Tamandua tetradactyla: one gene and its partners. The protein of the gene in region 4 purifies or fractionates together with the protein of the main gene of each other region. This does not show direct contact. Links are inferred from orthologs where the notes say so. Each region holds a gene or a part of one and is shown on either strand. Other genes may lie near its edges. The genes, in order: LMNA, U2AF2, DDX39B and HNRNPM.

What was found.
Region 1: the proteins of HNRNPM (region 4) and LMNA fractionate together in Homo sapiens (co-fractionation; 3 studies listed by BioGRID, with this or other methods). This does not show direct contact. The link is inferred for Tamandua tetradactyla from reciprocal best matches to the Homo sapiens genes HNRNPM and LMNA.
Region 2: the proteins of HNRNPM (region 4) and U2AF2 fractionate together in Homo sapiens (co-fractionation; 4 studies listed by BioGRID, with this or other methods). This does not show direct contact. The link is inferred for Tamandua tetradactyla from reciprocal best matches to the Homo sapiens genes HNRNPM and U2AF2.
Region 3: the proteins of HNRNPM (region 4) and DDX39B purify together in Homo sapiens (affinity purification with mass spectrometry; 4 studies listed by BioGRID, with this or other methods). This does not show direct contact. The link is inferred for Tamandua tetradactyla from reciprocal best matches to the Homo sapiens genes HNRNPM and DDX39B.

What each region holds. Positions count from the first base shown.
Region 1 is NC_135330.1:9,116,966-9,124,767, forward strand, and holds the start of LMNA (lamin), read left to right. Parts: upstream 1-4,584; 5' UTR 4,585-4,743; intron 4,744-7,802.
Region 2 is NC_135342.1:4,094,784-4,102,384, reverse strand, and holds the start of U2AF2 (splicing factor U2AF 65 kDa subunit), read left to right. Parts: upstream 1-4,386; 5' UTR 4,387-5,362; coding exon 5,363-5,411; intron 5,412-7,601. Other genes in the region: CCDC106 (coiled-coil domain-containing protein 106), read left to right, coding at 514-544, 663-770, 861-1,037, 2,218-2,406, 2,894-3,210. UniProt on the Homo sapiens protein: Plays a role in pre-mRNA splicing and 3'-end processing. By recruiting PRPF19 and the PRP19C/Prp19 complex/NTC/Nineteen complex to the RNA polymerase II C-terminal domain (CTD), and thereby pre-mRNA, may couple transcription to splicing.
Region 3 is NC_135331.1:87,132,254-87,139,584, reverse strand, and holds the start of DDX39B (spliceosome RNA helicase DDX39B), read left to right. Parts: upstream 1-4,142; 5' UTR 4,143-4,273; intron 4,274-4,377; exon of another isoform or gene 4,378-4,784; intron 4,785-5,060; exon of another isoform or gene 5,061-5,132; intron 5,133-5,584; 5' UTR 5,585-5,720; coding exon 5,721-5,931; intron 5,932-7,331. UniProt on the Homo sapiens protein: Involved in nuclear export of spliced and unspliced mRNA. Component of the TREX complex which is thought to couple mRNA transcription, processing and nuclear export, and specifically associates with spliced mRNA and not with unspliced pre-mRNA.
Region 4 is NC_135337.1:84,875,572-84,883,364, forward strand, and holds the start of HNRNPM (heterogeneous nuclear ribonucleoprotein M), read left to right. Parts: upstream 1-4,574; 5' UTR 4,575-4,625; coding exon 4,626-4,738; intron 4,739-7,793. Other genes in the region: E3 ubiquitin-protein ligase MARCHF2, read left to right, coding at 539-697. UniProt on the Homo sapiens protein: Pre-mRNA binding protein in vivo, binds avidly to poly(G) and poly(U) RNA homopolymers in vitro. Involved in splicing.

The DNA of each region.
Region 1 (7,802 bases), on a different chromosome or scaffold from region 4:
GGTCCTGGGTCCCTCTTTTTTATGGTAATGAGGGGGGAGGGGCGGGGAGCGGTCCGGGCTGGGTCGCTGCGGCGCCCCCACCCCCCACTCCCGGCCTCCGGGCCGCGCGCTCCCTCCGCTCCCCGCCCCTCGCGCTCTCCCGGGGTCGATCCCGGCTCCCGGGCGCGGGGAGCGGCTCTCGGCCGAGCAGACAAAGCCCGCAGCCGCGATGACGGGCTGGGGGTGGGTGCGGGGGACCCGGCTCTGCGCGCGGTGCGGGCCAAAATGGGGTGCCGGGCTGGAGGGCTGGACCCCCCTGGCAAAGGACACGATCCTCTCGTCCCCAAGCGGCGAGCCACCCCCACCCCCCACCCCGTCTCCAGTCTCGGAGGCATCGACTTGGAGGTAGGTGAGTTCTTTCTCGGCCCTCTGGTGGGTGGAAGAGGGTCAGGAGGGCCGTGGCGCAATGGAGTGAGGAGGACGAAGGGGGTGAGAGAGAGGGGAGAAGGGGGACGCAGGCATGGCAGGGCTTAACAGTTTTGGGTGAGGGGCTTGAGCTTTGGGTGCCACGGAAGGAGGAGAGGCTGGGGGTGGACTGGGGACCCAGGCTTCCTTCATCCTGGGCCACGAATACAGCTTGGGAGTGCTCAGTCCTTTAGCCGTTTCTGTCATTCCACTTTTCTTCATGCATCTCTCTCCAGTAATTCAGCCCCTTTGACTCTGGAAATCTGGTGAAAGTGAAAATAAGTTTTTAAAGCTTAAACTGGGTGATTGCGTACTTTTAGAGATAGTTTGAGGAAGTTGGAACATAATGCAGTCTTTTCTCCTTCTACCTCATATCTTCGGCATTTCTTTTGTCACCCTTTTTATGCCTACGTCTTTCCCAAGAAAAGAGTTTGTACTGCAGCTTGACGGTCTGAAGTCAGACTTTAAGAAGGACTTCCCAAAAGAGGAGTATAAGAGCGGGTGGATGAGCTACAGTGGTGAGGTGTCCTTTTCTGGAGTGTCTTGGAAACCGAAAATCTGAACGGGTTTGTGAAGTAAAGCCCTGTTTGGAGGCAGGGGAATGAATGAGATGACCTCATAGATCTGGCAGTAGGAGGCCTTGAGAGCTGAGCTGCACAGCAGAGTTCCCTAAATTAATCCTTATCCCCCGGGTTGGGGAGGTGTGCCCCCAGCTCAGGGATTTAACATAAGATTATTGACAAGATGAACAACAACGGATGCCACCCCACTGGGTGACAGTGGTAGAGGAGGATTTGTAGCGACAGGAACTCGGGGAGTGGGCTCTTCCTGAAGTTTGTCCCCTCTCTGTCTGTCCCAGGGACCTGGATTGGGGGAACTGCGGTACTGGGGATTTGGGGCTTTCACTAGGAAAAGTTCCCACTCTGAGGCCCAGGTGACTGTTTTTCACACTAATAGAAATAGCAGAGTTGTACCAGGTGTCTTTATGGGGCCACCAGCTGATTTGAGCCTTCTTGTCCCCACCGAAAGGAGTCTCCCACTCCAGACCCCCACCCTGAGTTTGCCCTGCCTCCACTTTCCTCCCTGCTAAGCTAATTAAAGCAGGAGGTTAATGACCAAAGAAGCCTTGGGGATTTGCCCAGCGAGGAAAACAAAGGACAGAAACAAGTGTGTGTGAGTGAGGTGGGGACAGCTGCTGAATGGGAATAGGGAAGGGCTGAGGGGCTGGGTGATGGAGGCGGGGGTCCCTCCTGGACCCACATTACTGATCCAACAGCAAGGATGACTCAGCCCCTTGGGTGTGTCCAGGCACCACGTGTCCACCCTCAGAGTCCCAATGTGACTCCAGACAAACATCCTTCATTGCAGGAGAGAGGTAGACGTGGACCTGGCACCCTGGAGGGCAGGTGTGCGTGTGTGAGGGCACTTAAGTAGGTGGCATGGATGTGCACACATGGGAGTCTGTGCTTGGGATCACGTGTGTGCCTGCAGATTGTATATGTGTGTATTTGGGGGGTTGTGCACAGCAGGGAGTACCACAGTGCCCAGACCATAGGGGAGCCCGTGAGTGGACACCTTTACGAGTGGGGCTCGCAGGGTGGAACTTTGAGGGGTCCCTCCCATGCTCCCTGGGGCTGATGGCCTCCTTTGTTCACCAGACCTCGTTCTCTCCAAACAACACATTTGTGCGCCCACACTGGGTTCCTGTCCATGGGTACTCCTTTGTCTTCCTACTCCTGCTTGCCCAATCTATAGTTATGCTGATGAGGGTAGAAAGCCTTACTTAAACAATTTGCTTGGAAACGGCTTTCCTTATGACTAGAAAGGTGTGAAGGTGCCGTATCTCCCCCTTCCAGGACCTTGGAGGGGAAGACTGTGTCTCTCGTCTTTGTCATTGTCCCCCTATTCTGGCTCCCCAGTGCCCAGCACACAGCCCCGACTAGAGCAGAGACTCCAAAAGGATAGATTGAGTGTAATTGCATGTGTGAAGTCTCAGGTGTGAGGGGGAGGAGGCTTCTGGTTCTTGAGCAGTCATTTAATGCTCAGCCTCAATTTCCTCACCTCCAAATGGAAATAATAAGCCCAGTCCCTAGCACACTGCCTGGCTCATCCTAGGCGTTCAGTCAGTGTTAGTTTCCTTGCCTGGTTGTTCTTACCTCGAAGTTGATTTTAGCCGAGTTGTGGTCCCTGTTAGTTAAGTTGCATACATTCATTCATTCAGTCATTCAGTCGGTCAACCAATTCCTATTGAGCTCCTAATATGTGCCAGACACTGGAAGAGATGCTCACCCACTATGAGTTACTTGAAGTCAGTTCTAGGTCTAGACTTGCCAAAATAAGATCATCCCAAACAGCAGATAATTCCAAAAATAATTTCTATGGAGTACTGGAATGCAAACTGTGTCTCTGTCTCTCTAACACTCACAGACACACACGCATACACACAAACACACACACACACACACACACACACAGGCCAGGCTCCTGTCTCAGGTCTGGGGAACAAAGGACTCAGATGAGTAGCCTGAGTGTGCATTGTGTCTGTACAAGTGTGTGTCTGGGTGTGTGATAGCCTGGTTGCAGGGCATAAACTCTCAAAAGTTGCGAGTGGAGTGGTGCAGGTTTCACGTGGAGCCTGGAAGACAGGTGTGGTGTGTATGACCCAGACGTGGGGGAGGGGTGTCTCTATGTGGAGTTGCGTCCATTCTCTTGGAGGAAACCATGCACCAGTTGTCACTGTCCAGACACCAAGTACCCGGGATGGGGGCACACACCTAACGCCTGCCGCTCTCCCATCCTATGCTCAGAGTCCCTGGGGAGAGAGGGAGGCACACGAAGCCACCACCAAGGCTGCCCTACCAAGCAGACAGGTCCTTAAAGGGGTCATCTCATTCATCTCCCTATTCCTACCGGGATGCCTTCTTCCCCATCTTACTTAGCTGAGCCTCTTCTTCTATGCCTTATGGGGTTCCCATTTTTCTTTTCTTAATATCTCTCCTTTGTGGGAAGTCCACCCTGCTATCTAACCATCATCCTTCCTGCTGAGAGCCAGTTTCCTCTCCGTTACTGGACCATGCTCAACTCATTAAATAATTAATAATCAATGAGAATGTAAGAATATATTGGGCAAAATTCTGTAGACTACATAAAAGATCTTGATCCCTGCCTTCCATGAGCCACAGAAAGTAGCCTACATAACTCAGAAAACATGGACAAACAGGATTAAAAGTGGGGGCAGAAATGGTCTGTGGGACTGGGGATTAGAGGGAAGAGTCGGTCACCGTGGCTCCTTCTGTCACTGTGGACTTGATCTCCAAGGGCCTCGAGGACCCAGTTTGAGGTTTGAACCTGGACAAACACACCTCCTCCTTCCCTGGGGCCACCTCAGCCCTCCCCCTACAGATCCCCTGCACGGTCTGATTTCCCCAGGGACAGTAGCTTAGAGGGGCTGGAGTGGAGCCTGGGTCCCCCAGGACAGCTGGTTAACAGGGCCCCTCTGGGACTCAGCGCTGGACCCAGGCGTCCAGGAGGCAGGTGATACTGGAGCTGTGACAGTTGGTCCCCAGATTCCTCACCCAGTGGCGCCAGCTCTGGTTTCTGGCTGAGCGAGGGAAGGGGAGGTACCTGGTGCCAGTCGGGGCTGGTTGCCCTCTGGGGGCAGGGAAGGGGAAGTAGTAAACATACCTTGGTAGGTTGTTGAGGAGGGATTTTTCTAGTACCCTCCCTGTGCCAGGCACTGTGCTAAGTGTCATCAGGGGATATTGAATAAGACACAGCCTGTCACTGCTTTTAAGGGGTTCACAGATGAACTGATGGGTATAAAAGACATAATCCCTATATGGAATATCAGAGCTGGAATAGAAGTTGAATGAATGAGTGAATGAATGGCTTCATCAGTTATCTAATGGCTTCATTTTACAGAGGAGATTGAGGCCTAGAGAGCTCAGGCCCTGTGACTTCCTTGTGTCTTCTGTTTGATCAGGCTTCCTTTTCAGGAAAGGGAAGAGGAAGTCAGAGAAAGGAGTGGAAAAGGACCGCTGTTTCCTGAGTGTCTGTTTGGTGCCACTCTTTCTCCTTGGCCCTTACAGACCTGATCTTATCTAATTCTCATCACAGCTCCGGGAGGCTGGAGATGCTGTCTTTGCTTAACATTCCACCAAGAAGGGAGTGATCACTGGAGCTGGGAGAAGCTTGGGGAGACTTCCTGGAGGAAGCAGATTTGAAGGAGTCCTTGAAGAATGAGTGAGATTCATTCAAAGGGAGAGAATGAGAAGAATGTCTGGAGGTCCAGCACCCGAGGTACTCAGGGAGGATTCCCGGTGGGGTGGCGTGTCAGCTTGCCTGGGGAGCAGGGGACAGATGGAGGAGACACGTGTTTGCCGCCAGGTGGCGCTACTGGCCAACCACTGGCTCCTGTCCGGGCTCTGACACTAGGGCCCTGGTGCCCTGCCCTCCCTGCTCAGGTACCATCCCTGGTTTCTCCCACGTTCTATGCTTCCGGTAGGGCATCCCACAGTCGGGGGACCAAACAAAGGCTACCGGTTTGTTTCTGATTCAGGAGACAACCCATGTGGCTGAGACCTGGGCATCCCCATGGGTTTGACCAGCTCCCTTGGCTATCCTGAGTCCCCTCCAGCTGCCCTCCTGTGTCCCTTCTTAGCCCAGGGGCTAAGAAAATGGTCATTTGAGTCCCAACCTCCCTACTTATTAGCTGTGACCTGGGCCACTGTTAATAGTATCTACCCACTAAGGATTTTAACTTTTCATTCAGCAAGTTTACATTGAACACCTACCATGTCAGATATCCTTAGGCACTGGGGATCCACCAGAGAACAAGAACAAAGGGTTGATATTCTGTGGGAGGGGAGAGGCAGCTAGTAAACAAGTAAATAATGTAATTCCTAGTAATGATCTCCACTGGTGAGAAGAGCGAAGCAGGATATAGGGCAGGAAAGTTAGAGGTGGGTCATTTCGGCTGGTGATGTGGTAAGAACCGAAGTGGACATATAGGGCACACAGCATGATGTCTGGGCCTGGGTTAGCCAATGTTACTTTTTTTAATTTCCTTTTCCTCTTGCTCTACCCCATCCCCACGTCCCCCTTCCTTTATCCCACATTCTCTATACCTTTTCCCGGTAGCCCTAACAGGGAAGAAGGTGGTGCTGGCCGAAGAGCCAGGAACTCTGAGTTTTTAAGTCTTGACTCTGCCCCCAGCAGCCCAAACCCACTCCCCTGCCAGTGCCCCCAGCTTCTGGTAAATGACACCACTGTCCACCTGGTTGCTCACGTCAGAAATCTGGCACCATCTATGATCCGTCCCTTTGCCCTGCCTCCCTCCCATCCAGTCCACCACGTACTCACAGCTACAGCTCAGAATACTCCCCCAGACCACCGACTTCCCACCTCCACCGCTACCGCTGTGCTGCAGCCACCATCGTCTCTTACCTGCAGTAGCCTCTAACTGGTCTCCCTGCCTGCACTCTTGCCCCTTCCTGCAGCACCCTCCAATCCCCACCTAAAACCCTGCAGTCTCCTACCTAAAGCCCTACAACAGCTCCTATTGCCATTAGATTCAAAACAAAATTCCAGCCGGTCCAGCCTCATTTCTCACCTCCTCTCTGCCGCTGACACCGCCCCTGCCCCCAATCCTCTTCTCCGGCCACAGGGACCTTCTTTCAGGTCTTTGAACACACCGTGTTCTCATTATCCAGCCTTTTCCTGTGTTTTCCCTTCCATCTGCTCTTCCCTCACTTTTCACCTACCTGAAGCTTGGTCATCTTGCAGGACTTAACTTAGATGTCACTTTCCCTGGGAGATCCCCCGTGGTCCTTTTTGGGTGTCACTCGCCTTTCATCACACTATATTGTAAGTGCCTTTTACATTTCTGTTTCTCCTAGTATACTGGGAGCTCCCTGAGGACAGGGACTGGAGCTGGTCCACTGTATTCCCAGCACCTGGCACAGAGCCTGGCACACAGTAGGTGCTCAATAGATGTTTGTTGTTTGGAAGCTGAGCCTGCTTATCCTTATGTTCCCTCCACCCGCCTCCCCTGCTAAATATTCACCTCCTCCCTCTGCTTTTCCACATCCCCCACCCTCCACACCCAGCTTTTACCCTTACCCTCACCTGATCTCCAAGTGGGTGCTGTCTGCATGGTGCTTGGTGGATACTGTGCCCTCTCTAGCCCCTGGTCTGGGGCCTTCATACACAGCAGGAACTCAGTAATGGTGCCGTGTCACTGTCATGAGTTTTTGATTGATGGCTCAGAGGGAATTTCTAAGTCTGTAAACCCCTCCCCTCAGTCACCACTCAGGCACAGTAGGACTTTGAGTGTGCAAAAAAGGATACGGGGATCCCCTGGGGCTGGCAGGCCCTCTGCAGAACCCAGGCCTTCGCACACATTATTCCCTCTGCCTTGAATCTTCTCTCCCCAACTCATCTTGGCTATCTCCCACTCATCCTCCAGATGTGAGTTTAGGAGTCATGTCCCCCAGGAGGCCTTTCTGACCACACTGATGGGCCTCAGAGCTCCCCGAGTCTGCTGTGGGCCCCAGTACTTTCCTTTGTGTTTGTGCTTAGCCCACAGAGCTGCCTGAGCTTGTTTAGGTCGTCTGCATGTACACCAGACTGCACGCTCCCCCAGTACAGGGGATGTGTTCTCCAGTGCCCCGCACAGAGGAGGCCCTCAAAATTGCTAAGCAAATGATTGATTGAATGAAGAAAACTGCCATGTGACCCTGAACAGGTCACTCCATGTCTTCAGACCTTAGTTTCCTCTTCTGTAAAGTAGGGACAGAAGAGCGTAGGGCAGCGGTGTGCCTGCGAACGTTTACTGAAGGCCAAAGCAAAAAAAGCCCTGGGGTGTCGCATTTGCCGATTTCCTTGGTGTAAATTCTTTCACTGTGGCTGATTTCAAGCTACCAACTTGACATCACCGAAATGTACAGAGCTGGGGAGAGATGTGGACACCGGCTCACCACTGCAGATGGAGTGGCTGGGACCAAATGGCTTCCAAGGCGCTTTTTAGCAACAATCTCCTGGCCCTAACTGCCCCCTGCCCTGCTCCCCATGTCCTCGCCTACCCTGAAGACTGGAGGTCAGAGGTTAGTCCCTGGATTCCTATCCCAGCTCCCCACTCTTATTACCTCCCCAGCACCTCCAGTTCTTTCTTTTCTTTTTTTAAATTTTTTATTAATTAAAAAAAATTACAAGAAGCACAAACATTCCCAACACATACACTCAGCAATTCACAATATCATATAGTTGCATATTCATCATCATGATAATTTCCCAGACATTTGCATCAATTCAGAAAAAGACATGAAAAGACAACAGAAAAATAAAACAACAGAAAACAA
Region 2 (7,601 bases), on a different chromosome or scaffold from region 4:
GGGTGATCGCGGGCACCCCGGCCTCTCGGACCCCAGGCGCCTGTGGGAGGGGGGTGGCGCATGTCCCCAGGTGTGTCTCGCCCACCACCGTACCCCTCCCCCCGCGGTGCGCACGCGCCCAGCCCCCACCCTCCTCGGGAGAGGGGTCCTGCCCACCCCTAGGCGAGAGCGGGGGAGGGGCGTGGGGTGCCGGCGGGCAGGGAAGGCGCCGCGCGTGGGTCGGACGCCCCCTTCCGCTGTTGGCTTCTTGACCCGTGGGGAGGGTCCTCCTTCCGGCCGGGGTGTCCCTGCTCTCGACCCCATGGCAAACCCAGACATTTCGCGTTCCAGCCCCTCTTCCCTCCACGCGCCCGAGTCCAGGAGTTCCCATTTCAGTCCTCGAGAGTCCGGGCCCCCCCCCCGCCCCCCCAGGGTGGACCCTGCGAGCCCATCCTCGCCCCTCTACCCATGGCTGCCGTTTCTGTGCAGTGCCCCTGAGGCGCTCCGCTGCCCGGGTCTGCCCCCAGCCGCGCCATGAGTGATCGGAACAGCCGGAGGAGGACAAGTGAGGAACTGGGGCCCCCTCCCGACCCTTGGTCCCAAGGCCCACCCTTCCCCCCAGGGTAGTGCGGTTGGGGGCTGGACCGCAGATTTCCCTGGGTGACCCCGGCTTCTCCTCTCAGTGAAGAAGGACGATGAAGCCTTGGAGATCTCCATCCCCTTCGACGAGACGCCCCACCTAGACCCGCAGATCTTCTACAGGCTGAGCCCATCTCGAGGAAACTTCGAGGGTGAGCTAGGGCCGGGCGCGCAGGGCCTCGAGCCGGTGGCACACCAGGCCGAGAGGCCTGGGGTGTGATGCCGCCGCCCCGTGTTCCCAGAGCCTCCGGAGGCGGCGTCCCCCACCCTGGCCCGGATGCACGGAGTCAAGGCCCAGCTGCACTTGGCCCTGGAGAGGAACTCGTGGCTGCAGAAGCGCATCGAGGACCTGGAGGAAGAGAGGGACTTCCTGCGATGCCAGCTGGACAAGTTCATCTCCTCAGCCCGCATGGATGCAGGTGGGCAGGGGGCTGTGACCAGGGAAGCTCCACTGAATCGGACCCCTCTGCCACCCACCCTCCTCAGGGATAGAGGCGTGAAGCCCCCCTCCTGGGTTGGGTGCATCATGTCTCCTGGTAGCCAAAGCTCTCCAACCCTGTTTGCCCTGGCGGCCCTTTCCACTGTTCCAAGTCTCCTATCCCTGTCAGCCCCCGCAAATCTTGCCCACCCTGACTTCTGTGCCCTCAGGCACTCCTCTGCTGGGGTTCCCTGGGCACTTCCACTTCGCAAAGACCTGGAGTCCAGACCTCCAGCGTCTTCCCATGCCCAGCTTGATGGTCCCGACTGTCCCCTCCCCTTGGCTAATTAAAGCTCCTTTCCTACTAAAGACCCTAGATCCCTTCCTGGCCTACTCACCCTTCCCTAGTGGAGCCTCAGGTCTTACTTGACGTGTGTGTGTGTGTCAGCATCTGTTATCCCTCCAGACCCTGCCCAGCTTCTCAGCACACCCCCTTCTGTTGCCTGGTTCTATTTCATAGCCAGGAGCTCTGGGGTGAGCTCCTAGAGCTGGCCCACCCCGCAGCTGGCCCTCCCTGAGGCTGAGCCCCCTGGCTGCCTGTCTTCTCGTGGGCCAGGTCCTCTGGTGTCCTTGGGTCACCAGCTCCTACTGTCCTCAGGAACAGCTGAGGGTATCCCAGCTAGTGCAGCCCAAGGGTGTCGGACTTTCTCTGGGGACCCCGGCTGGCTCCCTGTCTTAAAAGCAGTGGCCTTTCCTAGCCAGTCAGACACAGGGGCCTGTGATTGCCAAGGCCTTGCCTGCCCCAGGGGCTCCACTCTTCTGGAGGGACTGCTAGGGTCCCCAGAAGACCCCCTCTCTACTATGGGAACCACCTGTGGCCACAGCCCTGCCTTGTCAGGTAGTCCTTACCCAGAGGCCTCGGACACCCGAACTCTTCCCCTCGCAAGCCTCTTGCAGTTGTCCACTGAGGCACTGGCCAGCTTTAGGGGCCCTGCTGAGCCTCTACAGCCCGGGTGCCTTGGAGATGATGCTGGCCCTTGCAGGAGACCCTCATTTCGGGAAGTCCAGCCTCTTCCCTTCCTGGGACCCAGAGTTTCCCACGGGAAAGGTGGCGAGGCCTCGTGCCTTCTCTTCCCTCCCCCTCCCGCAGCTCACGTGTCTCCCTCCTCCTGTCCTCCCAGAGGACCACTGCAGGGGGAAGCCGGGGCCCCGGCGGGCTGAGGGCGAGGCGTCCGAGCCCGAGTCCGCGGGCTCGTCGCTGAGCGCAGGGTCTGAGGAAGGCAGCTCCAGCGAGAGGAAGAGGCAGAGGCAGAGGGGAGGTGCCACTCGGAGGCGGTTCGGGAAGCCCAAAGCTCGGGAGAGACAGCGAGGTAGGTGGGGCTGGGGTGGGGCCGTGGGCACCTGCACAGTGACCTTCGCAGAGGCCCTTCCCGGCAGGCCGCCGTGTCCCCCCCGTGAAGAGATCAGTCCTGGGGTACCTGCCAGCTTTGACGGCTTGTCATGACGGAGCCGAGAGCTGGGGGGAGGCTCTGCTCTGCTCTCTTCCTCCGCACTCCGGAGCCTTCCTTCTTCAGTTCCCCATGGTTCCACTTCGGTGTCTTGTCTCCTTCTCCTCTAATTCTTCCATCTTTTTATCCTCCTGCTTTCCATCTTGTTCACCTGCCCTTTCCTGTATGGGGCCCCTCGTCCCTGCTTCTCCCCTCCTGGATCCTCCTTCTCTGACTTCGTTCCTTTCTTCTGCACGCACCCTTCACGCCCCCCGCCTTTCTCCACCGCATCTCGGAACCCCGTCTGCACCTGTGTACCTCTATGTCTCCGGCCCCTACAGCTCTGACTCTCTGCCCCCCGCCCCCGCAGTGAAAGACGCCGACGGTGTCCTCTGCCGCTACAAGAAGATCCTGGGCACCTTCCAGAAGCTGAAGAGCATGTCGCGGGCCTTCGAACACCACCGTGTGGACCGCAACACCGTGGCGCTGACCACGCCCATCGCCGAGCTGCTCATCGTGGCGCCCGAGAAGCTGGCCGAGGTGGGCGAGTTCGACCCCTCCAAGGAGCGGCTGCTCGAGTACTCCCGCCGCTGCTTCCTGGCCCTGGACGACGAGACGCTCAAGAAGGTGCAAGCGCTAAAGAAGAGCAAGCTGCTGCTTCCCATCACCTACCGCTTCAAGCGGTGATGCCCCCGCTCAGCCTGGCCGGGTTCCACACGGCTACTCTCGCAGCCCCTCCAGCCCTGTCCCCTCCTCCAGCCTCCCCAGCACCCGGGCCGCGACGGGAGAGGCGCACCTCTCTCCTCCGCCTCTGCAGCCCCTCCCGCCCCAGGTGCTCGCGTACACAGGTCTTCCCCTCCTAGCACCCGCCTTTCTCTCTTTCTCTGGGCTGGGGTCTCACTCAGCCAGACTCTGAAGAGCTTACTGCCCAGAGGGCTTGTTTCTGCCCTTCCCTAAGCACTGGTGTCCCTCTCCAAAAAGAAAGTCTTTGCACTTGCGCTGCACTCATCCTGCCCTCGCCGGGCACCTTTCCTCCTGGGAAAACTGGGAGGCGCGCTCTGGGAGTGCCACCTTCTCTCCTAGCGTCTGGAGGGCCTGTATGTACCCGTCTCCACCCCCATCCGCGAGAGAGGCTGGCCGGACCCCTCCCCGGCCGGGAGCTCCCTACGCATCTTCCGGACCACCCTAATTCCCTGTGAGAAAGAGAATTATTCAGAGAATTTAAATTAAAGAGAGACGACAAAATTTGGAATAAACCAGGCCCTAGCCTCTTCCTAAGAGGGGGTGGCTGTTGCCACGGAAACGCTGACGGGGGCTCAGGGGGTTCCAGGGAGCGGGCGGTCGGGCGGGAAACGGGGAGATGCGGGAAGACAGGCTGTAATTAGACCCCCGGAGGCAGAGGCGGGAGGGGAAGGAGCAGCTGTGCCCCCAGGAACTCCGAGGGGGCAGAGCTCCGGAGAACAGGCGTGAACCCTAGCCTCCGTGCCATTTGGAAGTAGAGGCGCCGCGGCAGGAGGCGGGACGCAATGACCTCTAGTCCAAGAGGCCACCGGGGACTAGGGACTCTTTGGGAGGACGCTTCCGCACGCCCGCAAGGCGGCGATAGCGCCAGGTTAGCCTTCTCCCGGAAGTGGGCGCTTCGCTGCCTCCTGCGCCTGCGCACCCGGGATGGAGCGCGCTTACGCAGTTGCTAGGGCAACCAGGGGAAAGCGGCCGGGCTTAACGGTTGGGAATTGGGGACCTTTTCGCGCACCCGCGCAGAAGGTTCTAGGCATCCGTCTCCCTACCCAGGCAGAGAAAATCTCGCCTCCGACCGACCTCTACGCAGGCGCACAAACCGAACTCGCGCCCCGCCCCTTCCGCCCCGCGCAGGCGCAAAAAACCGCGCTGACAACTCCGCAGCGGCCGCGCGCACCCTTCATCTCGCTGCCTGCTTTTGTCTCGCGCAACCTTTTCGGCCCATCCGCGAGATCGTTCCTTCTTTTCTTCTGTTCTCCCCACCCGGAGAGCCAGGTGTGGAGAAGTGGGATTCCGCCCCTTATCGCGTCCTTTCCCTTGACCCACCTCTCCTCCGTCCTCCCTCCCTGATCAGTTTCCGAAGCTGGAAGGAGCCGAAGCGCCGACGGAAAAAGCCGAAGCTGTTCATCGCCAGTGAGGTCTTCCCGAAACGGCCGCGGAAGGAGCCGAAATTCTCCGAGAAGGGAGGAGGGTGCGAGTGGAATTTCCGGAAAGAGCCGAAGCTTGGAATTGCGCGTAATCGCTGGCGGAGCCCGAAGACGAGCGCCGGGAACCTTCGGAAAGTGCCGAAGTCTGGGACGGTTAGGATTGTCGGAAGTAGCCGATTCTTTCCAGAGGGCAGGCGCAGACCGGGGGTATCTGCGGAAGGAACCAAAGATTGGGACAGTTTGAATTGTCGCAAGAAGCCGAACCCTTAGAGGAGGCTGAGAGTGGAGGAACGTGAGGTCCTACGGAAAGACCCGAACGTTGAAGACCTAATCTCAAAAGTTACGGGAGCCTGGGAAGCCGGCAAAGCCCTCGCTTCGGGGGTTTTCGGAGGCAGCCGAAGCCGCCACTTTCCGACCCCTTCCTCTGCTGTCCGGAAACAGCCGACGCATTTCCGAGCGAGGCTTAGGGGGCGGGGCAGTTCGCGGGTTGGCGGGCGGGGACAAGGGCGGAGCCGGGGCGGGGCGGGGCGGGGTTCCGGGTGCTTGATTAGGTAGGAGACAGCGAAGCGCCGGCGGTGGCCGGAAGTAGCCGAAGCAAGCGGCGGAAGTAGCCGAAGCGGGCGGGCAGCAAGGCGAGGCGAGAGCAGCACAGGCCCCGACGCGGCCGCCTCAGCATGTCGGACTTCGATGAGTTCGAGCGGCAGCTCAACGAGAATAAGCAAGGTGAGGGCGTTGGGGTCATGGGGCGACGGTCGGGGCGGCTCTCCACTTCCCTCCCTGGCCCCCGCCATTTTCTCCCTCCTTCCCCACCTCCTCCGAGTGCCGCGCGGTAACCCCCCCCCCCGCCTCCGCTCAGCGGCGCGCGCCTCGCCCACGTGACCTTTCTCTACGTTCCGCCGCGCGCGCGGCGAGACGAGGGGCGGCGGGCGCGGACCCGTGACGCATGCGCGCCGCTGCGTCTATTCCCTCGCCCCACGTGGCCCTGGGCGGAGGCAGTGCGAGGGACTGGGGCGCAAGCTAGCGAAGTGTCTTGAAGCGACTACTCTTTCCCGTAAAGGAGTTGATATTAGGGCCCGTAATCTCTTCTTTTTCTTCCCGCTGCCCTAGCACTTCCGCTTCCGGTTGGGTCCGCTTCTCAGTCTCCACGCCCCCTTTGTTTCCAAAATGGCGTCTGTGCGCTCTTCCCCCCCCCCCTTCACGTGGGCCCTATGCGTTAGGCCCTTCGCCCGGCTGCGTGGAGGCCGCGCGGCTCTGTCTCACTCCTTTTGCATGATTTCTGGTTAAATTTGCCTGTCAGGGTGTTTTTACCCTCCTCCCGCCATTGGTCGTGGGGCGCTTATTTGACCCCTGCTCCTTCGTGTAAGTACCCCTCTCGCAAGTACATTTACACACGTGGGGACTTCTGGCAGTTCTGGCAGTACCAACATGGAGTGTTTATCTTCCATCCTTTCCCCACTTGAGAGAAGCCCCAAATCCTGTTGTGCCCCTACGCTAAGAGTACCCAGCCTCGGCCTCTTGTATCTTAGCACAGAGGTAAGGAGACAGGTTCTGGGTAAGAGTGACCTGGCCTAGGTGGGTAGAATTGGGAAGGGTGGGACAAAGGTGCCCTTCAGGTGGCGCCGAGGCTTGTGACGGTTAGAACAAAGTACGGGGCTGTGCTGGTGCTGGTGCTGGTCAGGTTAGGAAATTCAAGTATATTAGACTTTGGGGGAGTTGGTAGGTGACTTCTTGTACTTCCTGTCTCCCTAGTTTGGTTTAAGATTGAAGACTTAGGGAAGACTGAGGTTTTGGTTCTCTTGGTGCTTGAGGCTTGAGTTGCCCATGTCTCTAGTTGGAGCCTTTTCTCCTTCAGTTCTTCAGAGGACTGGACTGTATGAGGGTTCAGGAATTCTCGTTTGAGCCTAGGCTGGACTTGGATGGGTGATGGCTGGGTTAGGATCTAGTGCCTGGGGAAGGGAATAACGTTTACTGAGTATTCACGGTATTTATATTTCATACTGCTTAAAAGTACAGGCTGTGGAGTTAAGTACACACCTGGGTTCAAATACGTGCTTGGCTGTTTAGTAGCTGTGCTACTTTAATACTTTTGTACTTGACTGACCATCGTCATTCTACTGTCATAGGGACTTCGAGAACATTAATACGAGTGGTAGTAATAATAGTTGTGGTTAAACTCAGTGCTTACCATGTGCCACACACTTTTTTAACGCTCTTTGTATGGTTCTTCTAAGTGCATCCTTGTAAGGGCTCTGTGAAGCAGAGATTTCCTTCCTTTTGTAGAGGATATGGAGGCTCAGAAAACTTAGACTTTACCAGATCTTAGGTGGTCAAAGATGGCTGAGATTAAACGGGTTAACATAGGTAGTTTGGTGTGTGCCTTGGCATATGCTAAGTGCCCAATGGATGACATTTGTTATTGTGAAATCATGGCCAGCACAAGCTTCTACTTAGGCAGATCTCAGCCTACTCCGGGATTGGGTCAGAGGTGGAGAAGCACGGGGAAAGGTGCTTTCCAAATGCTATCCGGCCAAGTCCTGACCCTTCCTCAAGAAGTGCAGACTAGGTCTTTCCGCTGTGTGCTTCTGTGTGGTTGGTGAGCAGAAAACGTGATGTGATGTTGAGCTCTGACTGGCTACAGGGCCATGTATCCATTCTGCTGTGCATGACCGTGAAGTGGTGCTGCCTGAGTTGTTCCTTGAGACTCTTGAAATATGCTTCTTGGGTTCTCCCAGAGTGACCCCACTGGTTGGGGAGGCCAGGCCCTCAGACCTGTCTTGTTTCCTGGTTTGGTGGACCTGCTCCCATGCAACAACTGCACACAGCATTTTGAGTCAACTGAGCTCCCTTTCTCATCCATTGTCCAACATTAGTATGTGAAAGAGGGTTCACGAATGGGACCAGCCACCCATATAC
Region 3 (7,331 bases), on a different chromosome or scaffold from region 4:
AATTTTTCTTTATTTTATTTATTAAACATACCAACATACAAACACAAATATCCTTACCATATGATCATTCCATTCTACATATATAGTCAGTAATTTACAATATCATCACATAGTTGTATATTCATCATCATGATCATTTCTTAGAACATTTGCATCAATTCAGAAAAAGAAATAAAAAGAAAACAAAAAATTCATACATATCATACCCATTACCCCTCCCTTTCATTGATCACTAGCATTTCAATCTACTAAATTTAATGTTTGTTCTCCCATTTATTTATTTTTAATCCATATGTTTTACTTGTCTGTCGATAAGGTAGATAAAAGGAGCATCAGACACAAGGTTTTCACAATCACACAGTCATATTGCGAAAGCTATATCATTATACAATCATCTTCAAGAAACATGGCTACTGGAACACAGCTCTACATTTTCAGGCAGTTCCCTCCAGCCTCTCCATTACCTCTTGACTAACAAGGTGATATTTCTTTAATGCATAAGAATAACCTCCAGGACAACCTCTCGACTCTGTTTGGAATCTCTCTGCCATTGACACTTTATTTTGTCTCATTTCTCTCTTCCCCCTTTTGGTCGTGAAGGTTTTCTCAGTCCCTTGGTGCTGAGTCCTGGCTCATTTGCCAGGAAGGTTCACAGCCCTGGGAGTCATGTCCCACGTAGACGGGGAGGGCAGTGAGTTTGCTTGTTGTGTTGGCTGAGAGAGAGAGGTCACATCTGAGCAACAAAAGAGGTTCTCTAGGGGGTGACTCTTTTTTTTTAATTTATTTTTTATTTATGATACATAACCATATACAAACATTCTTATCGTATGATCATTCCGTTCTTGTTATAGAATCATTAACTTACACTATCATCACATAGTTGTATATTCATCATCACGATCATTTCTGAGAACATCTGCATCAATTCAGAAAAAGCAGTAAAAAGAAAACAAAAAAATTCATACATAGCATACCCCTTACCCCTCCCCTTCACGGATCACCAGCATTTCAATCTACTAAATTTATTTTAACATTTATTCCCCCTATTATTTATTTATTTTTAATCCATATGTTTTACTTGTCTGTCGATAAGATAGACAAAAGGAGCATTAGACACAAGGCTCTCCCAACCACACAGTCACACTGCGACAGCCATATCATCATACAATTAGAGAGAGAGAGAGAGAGAGAGAGAGAGAGAGAGAGAGAGAGAGAGACCACATCTGAGCAACAGAAGAGGTTCTCTTGGGGGTGATTCTTAGGCCTAATTTTACATAGGCTTAGCCTATCCTTTGTGGGGTTAAGTTTCATATGAACAAACCCAACAAACCCCAAGATTGAGGGCTTGGCCTATTGTTTTGGTTGTCCACACTGCTTGTGAGAATATCAAGAATTCTCCACTCGGGGAAGTTGAATTTTCCTGCTTTTTCACCATTCACCCAAGGGGACTTTGCAAATTCTTTTTTATTCACTGTTCAGATCACCATGGGATTTATTGGGACATCACTCTGGTTAGACCTACTCAAGGTTCCATGTACTGTGGTGCTCAATTAAGCTGTCCACATAAGTTATATTAGGAAATGCACTAGTCAAAATATAAATTTTGTACCAAATAAACATTTTTTGCTTTAGTCTCACACATAAGTTAAAGTTTTAAAATATTAATTACCATCTATTTTCAACACCCTGCAGTATTGACATTCCTTTGTTCTTCCTCATGCAAAAACATTTTTTAATTTGTACATTTAGTTACTATCATTGTACAATCTAGGCTTTCCTGGATTATATCATCTCAGTCTTTATCATCTATCTTTCCTTCTGATTTCATTTGTACCCCCAGGCCTCCTCCCTCTATCATTCTCACATTCAGCTTCACTCAGTGTTCTAACATTATTGTATTACAGTTAAGTAGTATTGTGCTATCCATTTCTGAATTTTTACAATCAATCTTGTTGCACAATCTGTATCCCTTCAGCTCCAATTACCCAATATCTACCCTATTTCTATCTCCTGATGACCTCTGCTCTTAACTGAAATTCTCCAAGTTCAGTCACTAATGTTAGTTCTTATCAGTGAGACCACACAGTATACGTCCCTTTGTTTCTGGCTAATCTCACTCAGCAAAATGTCCTAAGGTCCATCCATGTTGTTACATACTTCATAACTTTATTCTGTCTTACAGTTGCATAATATTCCATCATATGTATACCACAGCTTGTTTAGCCGCTCGTCTGTTGATGGACATTTGGGCTGTTTCCATCTCTTGGCAATTGTAAATAATCCTTCTATAAACATTGGTGTGCAAGTGTCCGTTTGTGTCCTTGCCCTCATGTCCTCTGAGTTGATACCTAGCAATGGTATTGCGGGGTCATATGGCAATTCTATACTTAGCTTCCTGAGGAACCACCAAACTGCCTTCCATAGGGGTCATACCATTTGACATTCCCACCAACAGTGGATAAGTGTGCCTGTTTCTCCACATCCTCCCCAGCACTTGTTGTTTTCTGTTTTATTGATAATGGCCATTCTGGTGGGTGTGAGATAATATTTCATTGTGGTTAAAAATTAAAAAAAAAATTTAAAAAAAGCAATAAATTTCAAAGCACACCACAAGAATTAGTTATAGATTTCAAAGTCTGGTTTGGGTTACAGTTCAGAATTTTAGGTTTTTCATTCTAGCTGCTCCATGACACTGGAGACTAAAAGAAGTATCAATGCAATGATTTCAGCACACTTATTTGTTAAACCCTATCTTCCCTGTTATAGCGCCTTCTTCTCCTTTGATCTTTCTCTCAATCGTTAGGAGTATTTCCACTATGCCCATTCTAATTTTTTCATGTTGGAAAGGGTTGTCGATAATATGAGATTGGGGGATGGAACAAGTTATGTTACAGAGAAACTGGCCCCTCTGGGTTTCAGGACTTTTCTGGCCTTGGAAATCGTCTGGAGGTTGTAGGGTTTCTGGAAAGTAATCACAGTGCATGGAACCTTTGTAGAATCTCAGATAAAGCCCTAAGTTTAGGGTTGGCAGGAATGGTTTTGGTTGGGGTTTAGCAAACCGGAAGACAGGTCTGCTTCACCACCTCACTCACCAATAAGGTAATCAATCCATCGTGTAATTATTAACCCCTCTCCCTCTTTAAGAGGTAGGCAGGATACAATGGAGGTAAACAGACAGGTTCTGAAAGTGTCCACATCCTGGCTCTGCCACGTTACTAGATGTTACTTTGGACAGATTGCTTTACTTCTAAAAGCCTGTCTGCTTGTGTATAAAATGGGAATAGTGAGGTTACCCTTGTTATCTGTGATAACAGGTAAAGAGCTTCTTTAGTTCAGGGCCTGGCCAAATGATTGTAGTCATTTTTGTTAAGCAGTAGGACATCACGTTTAACTTCTGTATTATTTCAGACGGGTGTCAAATGTTTCATTCAGAAAAAAATCCGGCTGAACAATGGGGCTGGTCTGTGTGTGTCTGTGGCGATGGTGGGACGACTAAGAACATTCTGGTCGAGTTAATAATTATGGAGTTTTCTGTATCTCTCAAGCTCAGGGTAGAATCTAGACTCCTATCTTCCATTCAGAAGATTCAAGACATCCTTCTGATTTTCAACCCCGTCCATCAACCTCAAGGCCCTTGAAAAATCAGCTACTGCGACAGCACAATTCTGGGCCAGTGTCTCCCATTCCTGCCCTCCGATTCCACCGCTGGGGAGTGGATAGGGCTAGGACTCCTGAGCACTATATTTCATTCCAGTTCCTTAGACCGCCTCTCCTATCCCTAGCAGGGGGCTTAAGCTCGTAACGCGAGCTCAGCCGCCACCAGGTCACCTTGATGACCGGGCCAAGGACCCCGTGGGAACTCACAGTCCCCAACGCTCTCACCCATCAAGCACCCACGATGTAGTGCCCAGAGAGAAGACCTGTGTGACAAGAACCTAAAAAGAGAGACAAGGGACGTAGAGAAGAGTAGGACAAGAGAGAAAAGTTAATAATGGGAGGGGATATTGGTTTCCGTCATGCACGTTACTACCCGCAGTAACCGAGAAATTAGAAGTGGCGTCTTAAAACAATTTTAGACAGGCTTTTTCCAAAGGCAACCTCCATGCGTGCGGAACTATAGAATCGCGGAAGGGCCTTCATTCGCTCCCGTGCGCCTGCGCGCTGACAGCCGAGAAGGCGGGAGGACGAGGAGAAGGAGGCCGCCGACCGGAAGTGAAGGCAGATTCTCTTCTTCGTAGCTGTTGCCGCCGCCATACGCGCCCGCCCTGGTCAGGTAAGCTTCGGTCTTCGGTATTATCCACCTCCATCCGTACTTTTTTCGCAGCCATTTGGTCTCTTGGGCTCCGGATAACTATTCCACAGGTGACAGTCTTGTCGCCGGGGCTTACTTGGATCGTTATTTCCGTTTTCTGCGTCTCTTTTGAGAGCAAAGATCTTTTGGGGGGAGGCCGGAGAAGCTGGGGGTGGTGGTGTGCAATCCAAGATGGTGGCCCCGGCGCCATTGTGTTTCTTTTACTTTCGGGTCCTCCTTGGGTGTCTGGCTTATCAGAGGCCCCAGCTCTGATATGAAAGAGGCGGTGCTAAGCCTTTCCTGGTTTGGGCCATTTACAGAGGGCGGGGCGCTTTTCAACTTCCCCCTTTCCCCTTCTCCTCGGGGCCCTCTTTAGGCCCGCGGAGGCAACAGGGATAGGAGCCAACTTCCGGCCTCTGGTGGATTTTTCTCACCTCGACTTGCCTGCCCTTACTTGAAATACTTTCCAAATGTTTACGAATGATGTCATTGTGTAAGTGTTTCTCCGGAAGGAATCTCCCTTGCGGAGTAGTACAACGATGATGTGTGGCCATTTGGTGAAGGTTCTATTAAATTTGGAGTGAGGGTACTTCTTTCCCGTTTAATAATTAGCATCTCATTCAGCGTATGATAGAGAGATGACTTTTTTTTCCCCTGACTGAGTCATTTCTTAACCCCCGCCATTAATTACACATTGATTTTTTTTTTAAGTGGCAAAAGGAGGGTATTCAGGAATGAGGGGCTGGAGAAATCTCGGGGGAGGATGACAGCCACATGATGTTTTTCATTTTGAGCGCTCTGCGCCTTGATGACCTTTATCTATCACCCTTGACTGATGGCTGCTGTCTAGGAGGTTCACACCTTGAGATAATAGGGAAAGCACAAGGTCTTGCCTTGAGGACTTTTTAGGAATTTTCATCTTCATTCTCTATACTCCACCCCTCCCCCATTCGCTGTATTTTTTTTTTTTAATTATTATTATTCGTTTTCCCTTACTATGTTACTTACCATCTAGAGTTTATAACTGGTCTTCCTCCTCCAACTTCCTGATTTCTGCAATTCTGATCCTAGTCATGCTGGCAATCTGTGTCCTAAACGTATGTCCTGGAACCATTTTTTCCATTCCTTGTATTATAATTGCTTTTCACTTTTATGTTTTTTGTGTGTTTTCTTTCTTTCCACATAAAGGCTTCATGATTTAGGGAAAGAGAAGGATGTGGGAATGAAGACTTGAGGCTGTGAGGGCTCTACTCATGACTGATATCTTCCATCTTTATTTTTTTTTTTCCCTAGCTCTTCAGTCAGAAATTAGTGTCTTCCTTTTCCTCTACTGTTCCCCAGTCCTCTACTCTTTCTTCCTTGATTTCATCTATTCTGCCTGAACCCATCTAGAGACCCCTCCTCCCCTTCTACCCCTGCCGGCCCAGTCATGGCAGAAAACGATGTGGACAATGAGCTCTTGGACTATGAAGATGATGAAGTGGAGACAGCAGCTGGGGGAGATGGGGCTGAGGCTCCTGCCAAGAAGGATGTCAAGGGCTCCTATGTCTCCATCCATAGCTCTGGCTTTCGTGATTTCCTGCTCAAACCAGAGTTGCTCCGGGCCATTGTTGACTGTGGTTTTGAGCATCCATCAGAAGGTAATTATTCACTTGGGCATAGAGTCCTCATTCGTTGTGCTCTTTAGAGCCACAAGAAACATGTGTTTATGGTTTCCCAGGTGATAAGGTTTATATATGGGATAGGCCAAAAAGTAAGGAAGTACTAAAAATGATTTTAGCAATAGAAGAGATTTGCATAGATTAGTCTCATTCATGGTAACACGAAAGTGCTAATGATCCAAAAGTAGCATAGAGATCTGTCACTTTTAAATTTGTTATTTTGATGAATAAAGGTTGGTTGGACTTTTAATCCTCCTATCTTGGGGCCAGTTCAGAGCTCTGGAAAACTTTATGTCTGGTCTAAAGATGACTGGTTTCAAACACCAACCAAATCCATTCCTGTCAACCCTAAAGAACACTTCGGGCATTATCTGAGATTCTCAAAGTTTCCATGCACTATGATTACTTTCCAGAAACCCTACAACCTCCAGATGGGTTCCTACGCCTATTAAGTCCTGAAACCCAGAGGGGCTGGTCTCTTTAGAGTGTCAGCTAGTCCGTTCCCCCTGTCCCATATTATTGACAGCTCTTTCCAACATGAAAAAATTAGAATGGGTATAGCTCAGATACCCCTGAAGACTGGGAGAAGGATCAAAGGAGAAGGTAGAGTTATAACAGAGAAGATAGGTTTTAACAAATAAGTATGATTGCTGAGTCGTTAATTGATATTTCTTTTAGTCTCCAGTGTTTTGGAGCATCTAGACATAAAAATCTAAAATTGTGGAATTGTAACCCATACTAAACCCTAATATCTGTTCTACAACTAATTTTTTGCAGTGTGCTTTAAGATTTATTGCCCTTTTATTTATATGTTATTTTTCATAGTAATTAAAAAAAAAAAGATGGCTGGCTTCTGGGTCAGGTACCAAATCCGTTTTTTCTGAGGTTGCAAGGTTATGTGACTCAAAGCATGGCAACCTAAGTGGGAGAAAAGGCACTCAAATGTCATGTATTGTTACAGGTTAAAGGAAATAAGGACAGAGCCAGTAGCACCAAAGGTGAGCTGTTTCTAGGTGCAAGAGGGTTATTAGTGGCACTAGGTAGTCTTGGAGCTGGAGGAGCCAGGGAGGTGGTTTGGGGATGAATGTGATTGAAAGGGCCTGAAAGTTGACAGGAACCAAGAAAGGTCCTTGGAAACTTTTTTTATTTTGTAATATAACATAAATACAAAGCAACGAAGGAAAAAAGTAATAATTTTCAAAATGCTCTTCAACGAGTAGTTATTGAACATAACACATAATCTAACTCTTCCTGTCTGGGTAGATCATTCCAACAGTCCAAACACAGGGAGCCCAGAATAAGAATGAGAGCCTTTATTCCTGTAGAGCTTAATGTAATGCCTGGATGTATTCTAGAGTATATTAAACAGATAATCAAAA
Region 4 (7,793 bases):
ATGTTTCTTTGGATCTTGCTTGCTCGGTCAAAGGGTATGAACCATCAACTTTCTTTCTTTCTTCTATTTTTTTTTTTTTACTTATTTTGAAATAATTTCACACTTTCAGGACAGTTGCAAAACTAATAGAAACCCTTACAGAGAACTCCAGCATATTCCCCCCACCCCACCTCTAAATACACCAGCTTTTAACATTTTGCCACCTTTGCGGCATCGTGAGCCACTGCCATCTCGCCCCTCCTGTGGGGCTGTATCACATCGCACCCACCCATTGAGCAAAGGGGGTCCTCCTTGTTCCCCTGCTGCAGACACCCCCATACCCTGGCAGGACGCTGAAGTCCGGTGGGGAGTTTCCCAGGAGAGTGAGTGACTGAGTGGTGGTGGGTGCACAGAGAAATGCCCAGAGGCTGCCTCCCCTTCTGACCGCATCAGCCCTCCCCGGGTGCCGGCCAAGGCCAGTGCCACACGGTCCCGGGTTCCCTCCTGTGGGAGTGGAGGCCAGTGTGGCCTCCCCGTCCACTTCGGCTCTGTCCCGCAGGTCTCCTTCCGCTACCATTGCCAGCTCTACTCGGAGTGGAGAAGGACCAATCAGAAAGTCCGCCTGAAGATCCGGGATGCGGAGGGCTCCGAGGGCACCCAGCACTGCCCACTCGCAGCTGGACTCCTGAAGAAGGGGGCAGAGGAGACGCCTGTGTGAAGGTTGAGCCATCAGGGCCCCCGCGCTGGGGGATGTCCTGGCATTTGGAAAGATGGAAACTGCCCGACCCTCCCCACATGGCCAGAACGCTTCTAGGGCCAAGAGACACCAGGTCCTGTGTGAATCACATTTTCAGCTTTTTTTGCACTCTGTTGTACACGACGAGAAGGACAGACGGATGTGGTCTTAAGCTCCAGACAAAGCGTGCACCCTGATCTCATCCTGAGGTCCACTGGGCACCTTTTCGGGCACCCCCCTCCCCCTGGCCAGGAGGGTCTGGCCAGCTTTTCGCGCTTCTCTACACCCAGCGGACTCGCTTTCCTGGCATCCTCGACTTTATAAAGTCACACTGAGTTTTGAAAAAACCTACCCCAAATGAATAAAAGGCACCCATGCTCGGCGAAATGGACTCATCGTTATGTTTCTGAAGCAAGGTCTCCAAGACAGGGACGTGGGACCCTTCTGAAGCAAGGTCTCCAAGACAGGGACGTGGGACCCAAAGGCAGTTGGGCCACCCGGAGGTAAAAAGGCCTTCAGCTTGTTCTGATGGATCTGTCATGGAAAAGGAAGAAGCAAACTCTGAGCTTTTAAGGGAAGAGCAGGTAGTGGGGTTATATAATAAATAATCTTAAAAATACATGCAAGAGAACGGTGTCCACTTATTTTGCATCTTTCATGAGCCAGATAAGGCGCCGGCCCCTTTACACTTGCTAATAGCTGCTGGTGGTGATGTCCACACTTTATTAGGCCCTCCAGGATGGCGTCCACATCTGGGCCTTCCCATACACCATCCCTCTGACTCGCACAGCCACCCCTGGTGTCGGAGTGGGGAGAGAACAGGCATTACCTCCGTTTACAGGTGAGAAGGCTGGGCAGGAAAGCATTTGGCTAAGGTTTTCCCTGGCTGTGGGAAGTGGAGCTGGGGTTGCTTCTCTGCCTTCCAAGAGGCCGTGGGGTCAAAGCAGAATGCGGTCATGTTGTCAGCAGTACCCATGTACTGAGCATTTTCTGTGGGCCCTGCTCTTTACATTTGAGGCCTCCTTGCCCAGGGCTGCATTTAATGCTTCACAGCAGCCCTGAAAGGCAAATTCTCAGGTTCTGTTATTCACCCCATTTGCAAACAGAGAAACTGAGGTGCAGGTGGGGTCCCAGTTCCCTGAGGGGCCTAGCACATCCTATTCATAATTGAAATGAAACTTCCTACCATTTTATGAATCCCAGCCTGGTACCCCTTTCTGCCCTGGACCTGAAAGGGAGAGGGAAGCAGCAGAGAAGAGTAATACAGGTGTAGCCAACAGAAAGGGGCAAAGGCTGGGAGGCTGGACGCTGCCTGGCAAGTAAGGAGGAAGGTGGCAGACCATGAGGCTGGAGTGTGTGACCAAAGGGCAGAGAGACGTGGCCAGACAGGCGGGCAGAGCCCCGTAGAACTCGGGTGACCCATGCAATGTGGTCTGCCAAACTACAGAATCACACCCTACTGCTATCTCTCGGCTGCTGCTCTAGAGCTGCACACTCTACAAAGACCCAGTCTCCTCTACCACCTCCCACCACCCTGTCAGTCCAACTGTGGGGTGCAGCACTCCTGGATGTGATGTAAAGAGGCTCCAGGACATGCCATCAGGAACAGAAAATGCCATTTCCTCTGCAAATCTCCAGTATTAGAGCTTTCGATTATATCAAGGAGAAAGTTTTAATTTGGTACTCGGCTGGGGTTTTTGTTTATTTGTTTGTTTACCTTCCCTTAAACTTTTGAATTTGAAACCATTTCAAACTTACAGGACAATTGTAAAAATAATACAAAACCAATACAGAGAATTCCAACACCTTCCTGCATACCCAGATCTGTTCATGTTAACATTTGATGACAGTTTCTGATCATTCTATAATCCATCTCTCTCTCTTCTAAACATCTGAGCTGAATGTAGGCTGTATACATCATGTTCTTTGAACACATAGTATTTTCATAACCATTTCCTAAGAACAAGGGCATATGCTTACGTAACCACCTTAAATGCAGCTATCAAGTTCAAGACATTTCACATTAATTCAAAGCCTACATGATAATTTAATTTTTCATGTGTCCCGATAATGTCCCTTTGAGCCTCTTCTTCTCCATTTTTAGACTCACTCCAGAATTTCTGGTTGTATTTATTGCCATTGTCTCTTCAGTTGCTCTTTTTTCATTTTTCTAAATTATGGAAACATATTCAACATAAACTTTCCCATTTTAACCACTTCCAAACATACCATCCAGCGGAATCAGTCACATTCATGATGTTGTGCTGCCCAGAATTATAATTTAATAACATTGTCCTTATTTTTTTTCCTTATTATTGACAATAACCTATCTATAGTAAGTTTTCAATATGTGTGGTGTTACAAAGCAAAATTTCCAAATATATTTCTTTTAAGGAAAAAAAAAAGGAATGTTGATGTAAAGGTGACTGTGAAGGAAATAAGTCAGGATATGTCAAAACCCAGGACTCTGGGCAATGCTGGGTTAAGTCAACTAGCTCATGGGAGTTCAGCCTTGAAGAGATTTTGCCTCCTCCACCAGGGCCTGGCTTGTTCTTAATCTCCAGTCACACCCATGCTGGGAGAAATGATGAGAGAGGTGGCGTTTTGTCCCTGCTGCTTTGCTCTCTGCCACCTCCTCTGGACCCTGCTGGGCACAGGAACTCAGGGATTTGGGGGCTCCTACTGTCCCAGGGGCCCTTCCAGTCTAGGGTTGGTATGGATGGGATAGGGGACTCTAAGAGAGAAGAGATTTTGGAAAGGAAGGGGGAGAGAAGGAAATTAATTCTGTTACCAGGGTGAGTTTAGGAAATAAGTGGGAACGGAGCTGGAAAGGTTTAGCCTGTTTGTCAGACTGAACTACTGGATTTAATCTGTAGGCCTAGAGTTCCCGAACTTGAGTTAGAATCAACAGGCAGAAATAAGCAGCTAGGAGGGTGTGGCAGGTGAAATACTGCTCCAGAAGCTTATGAGAGAGGGGGAAAACCCCCATCTTTTTCCCTTGGCAAGCCTAGAAAGAGTTTGGTGGTTGGATGGCAACTTCTTCAAGAACCAGTGAAACTTTTCAAAATTCCAAAGACACCAACCAGGGAGGGAGCTGCTGGGTAAAGGAGCCGGAGGCCTCTGAGTGTATCTCTAGGCACCAACCATTATCTCTCCCAGGACACAGTCCCCCATAGCAGTCCAGAACACACCAGATTGGGTACAGGTCCCACACTTGGCAGGGTAGCAGGATCAAAGAACTCCTATTAAGCTTAATGGAATCTTCTGGTCTATGGCTCATCGTTTCCATCATGTTTTGAGTTTTGCTTGTTTATTCATAAAGAAACAGGCATAAGCACGTAGTCCCGATGTGTTCAGTGAGAGAGACTCAAGCGAGGGGCTTGGAAGCCAGGAGCTCCCAGCGTGATCGGGGAGAGCGACAGGAAGAGCACAGCTACTTATAGTGCGGAATGTTTCTTGCTCTGAGAGATGGCGCTTTTCACACCTGTGCTACTTCCCAGACTCTTCCCGTCCTGCCCTCCTTGCCTTGACTAACTCCTTAACGTTCTAATAAATCTTCCAGGAACCCTCCCCAGACAGAACTTTCGCTGTCTCTTTGACCCCAGCTCTGCAGGAAGCTGAAAGTGACAAGGTCCGGGTGGGGGGAGGGGGCGATGTCTCCCCTACTAGATTTTGAGGCCGGGTCGGGTAGCCCTAAAGTGTCTACTCCAAGTTTATTGCGGGAATGAATGAATAGCACCTGCCGGTACGCGCCTGCGCGAGGCAGGGGGCGTGGCTCCAGGGGGGAGGGGGAGCAGGCGGGAGCCTGCGGCGGTGCGCGCAGGCGTTACTGGTCGCTCCGGGTCACGTGAGCGCGCAGGCGCAGCGTTGCTCAGCCCGCTCCCTCACACAAAGCCCAGACGCGGAGAAAATGGCGGCAGGGGTCGAAGCGGCGGCCGAGGTGGCGGCGACAGAACCCAAAATGGAGGAAGAGAGCGGCGCGCCTGGCGTGCCGAGCGGCAATGGGGCTCCGGGCCCTAAGGGGTGAGTATTTCACTGTTTTCTGCACCGGGTTGGGTCCCATCGTGGCGGCCCGCGGCCTCGCGCCGGCGGCTCCGTTAGGTCTGTTGGCGGCCTCCCCACCGGCGCGGCCTCGGTTTCGGCCCGGCCCTTCCCCGTGAGGCCTACTGAGAGCGGAGGCGACTCCAGGAGCCCCTCCAGGGTAGTCCCTTGCTCCCAGACCTCGGCCTCCCCGCCTCCAGCCCTTGCTGGCGGGGTCCGACCACGATGCTGAGGCCTCAGGCCGAACCTTGGCTCGCGGCAATGATGGCGCGGGCTCCGGAGCCGGAGAGCCCAGGGTCCGAGGTCGGCTCGGCTCGGCTGCTCGCAGGTCAGATGACCTTGGGCGCGTGGTTTAGCCATTCAGCCATCCACCCACCCGGGGTCTCAGTTTCCTGATCCGTAAGGTGGGGGGAGGGGAGCGAGTGCACGCGAGGGCCCAGACCCCCGCTTGCCGTCAGACCCAGTGAACGGTGGCGGGGAAGGGGGATGGTGTCCGGCAGGGCCTCGAGGCCGGGTCGGGGCGCCCCCCCGCGCTCCGCTGCTTCTCCTTGGGCTCGCCCCCCCCCCCCCCCCCCAGCCCCGCGGGAAGTGCCTCGCTCGGAACCGCCCCTCGTCCCACGCTGTGGCCCAGGCGCTAGGCGCTGGTTGCTTCCCGCTCGCCCTCCCCAGGTGCGCAGTAGGTATTTGTGAAGTGATCGGACTGGCTGCTTAGCGTTCGTTCTTAGAAACAAAAAGTAAGGGAGGAAAAGTCCTCTTCCGTATAGCAGAGAGATTTTTCGTCATTGAGGGGGAACTTATAATTCAGAACCCGTAACCTTTTTCGAGTCCAGATCGGGGCTCGGTCTCCTGTCTCCCTGGATTTTTAAGTTTCCCCGGACTCCCCCCCGCACCAACCCACTGATTTCAGATTATGTTCGTTTGAAAGAGAGAAGCCAAATATCAAATATGTTTCGGCCCCAACCAGTGGTCTTGGGGTGAGGGAAGGAGAACTGTGGGCGCACATTTGATTTCCCCCAGATTTGCAGTATGATTAACGTAGAAATTGGGTTTTCGATGATTGATTTCTGGGAATTAAGAGAGCGAATGTAAAGTGCTTATGTTAATGAGCGCTCAGTAAATGCCAGTCATGTTGTTAGATGGGGAAAAGTTCCAGGGCCTTTCTCTCCTTAGGTAGGGAGAAACGAGATGTTTCTAAAAGTGAAATTTGTTTTGGACCACCACCGTGGTTACTGGCCTCAGATATCAAGAAAGAATTGTCCTTTAATTATTCCCAATACCTTTACTTTCGACATCGTGGGAAACGGATGCTCATTTCAACTTTTGAGGGCCTATTTGAAGGACTTTAATATACATTTATGTCCTGTTTTGCTTTTTCTCTTAAAGCAGTTATCAGCAGTTCATAATGGAGTGCAGTTTAGAACTATGCCCAGTCAAAGATTGAGTTACAGGTTTATCATCCGGGGTACATTTTTAAAAATTTCCATTTCCCGCTATTTTCAAGTAAATAGTATTTTGTGACCTATAAATTTGACAAACATAATGTGTGGACTTTTAGAGCCTTAAAGTAGAGCTAAATCTAGGATTGGCTTAAAAGAAGGATGTTTGAAGCTAGCAACGCTTAGATGTTTTTTGTAAGACCAGTGGAAAACTTTTTTTGCATTATGTAGCTCATGAAGCAAAGCTCTTTAGAAGTCCATCTCTAGAGGATGGCCGAACTTTTTTGCATTGTGAAGCTCTTGAAGTGTAAAGCTCCTAAAAAGTAAGATGCGCAGAGGAAACAAGTCTGAGGAACACATTTTTAGTAAGGTGTGTATGCTGTGATAAAAACAAGTGGGGTGCCATGAGAAGGAGCACAGAGGAGCGTTTCCCCGATCCTAGCTAAAGAGGAGATGGGGATGGCTAAGAACTTTGAATTTTTATCTTGAAAACTGTGAGGGATGGGAAGTGAGTGAGAAAGTAGAAACTTGGTTCTGATCTTCTCTGTGGCCGCCATGAACCCTTGGTGTGAGCTTGTTCTGCAGTTTTTTCCTCCTGGATGTGGAAGGAGGTGGTGTTTTACTCTGATGAGACATCTGTTCCAGTCAAGATTCAAAGTCAGAATATATTTAGTCAGGGAAAAAAATAACTTTTTTTAGAGGAATTTATAGGTTTGATTTTTGTAAAGATTATCATATATATTTTTACCATATATATTTAAAATTATTGACTTACTTCCTTTCCAGATTAACTTTGTGGCTGAGATGGATTGGGTTTTTTTTTGTTTTTGTTTGTTTTTTGGTTTCACACATTTAATTTTTTTTTAAATAGGTTTTTTAAAATTAAATTTTTTTAAACATAACAACATACAAAAATGAACATTCTTACCTTATGATCATTCCATTCTTGATATATCAGTAACTCACAATATCATCACATAGTTGTATATTCATCACCATGATCATTTCTTAGAACATTTGCATCAATTCAGAAAAAGAAAAAAGGAAAAAAACTCATACATACTTCCCTCATTGATTACTAGTATTTCCATCTACCCAATGTATTTTAGCCTTTGTTTCCCTATTTTTAGCTACACCCCTTATCACTCCCTTTCATTGATCACTTGCATTTCAGTCTTCTACATTTATTTTAACATTTGTTCCCATTTATTTTTAATTCCTATGTTTTACTCGTCTGTCCATACCATAGATAAAAGGAGCATCAGACACAAGGTTTTCATATGGATTGAGTATTTTAAAAGTTGAAATTCGTGGTTGTACAGAAAGATCCCTGGGGAGGTGATGTTAGTGTTAACTCTTTTATAGTTGAGGACACTTTTTTTCCCCCCACAGTAGTTGAGAAAGCTCAGGAATTTGACCCAAAGCCATTTCTTTCTCTCACTGCTTCCACAGTGCTACCCTGGTAACCACTCACTAAACAGTCATTTACAAGCTTTTAGAAACATATCTTTCTGCTTTGTGTGATTTGAGTGTTTGCTGTACCTTTAAAGGTGGTTGTATACTTGATAAAAAGGATTTTGGGGGCGTGTTAGATTGTGAGC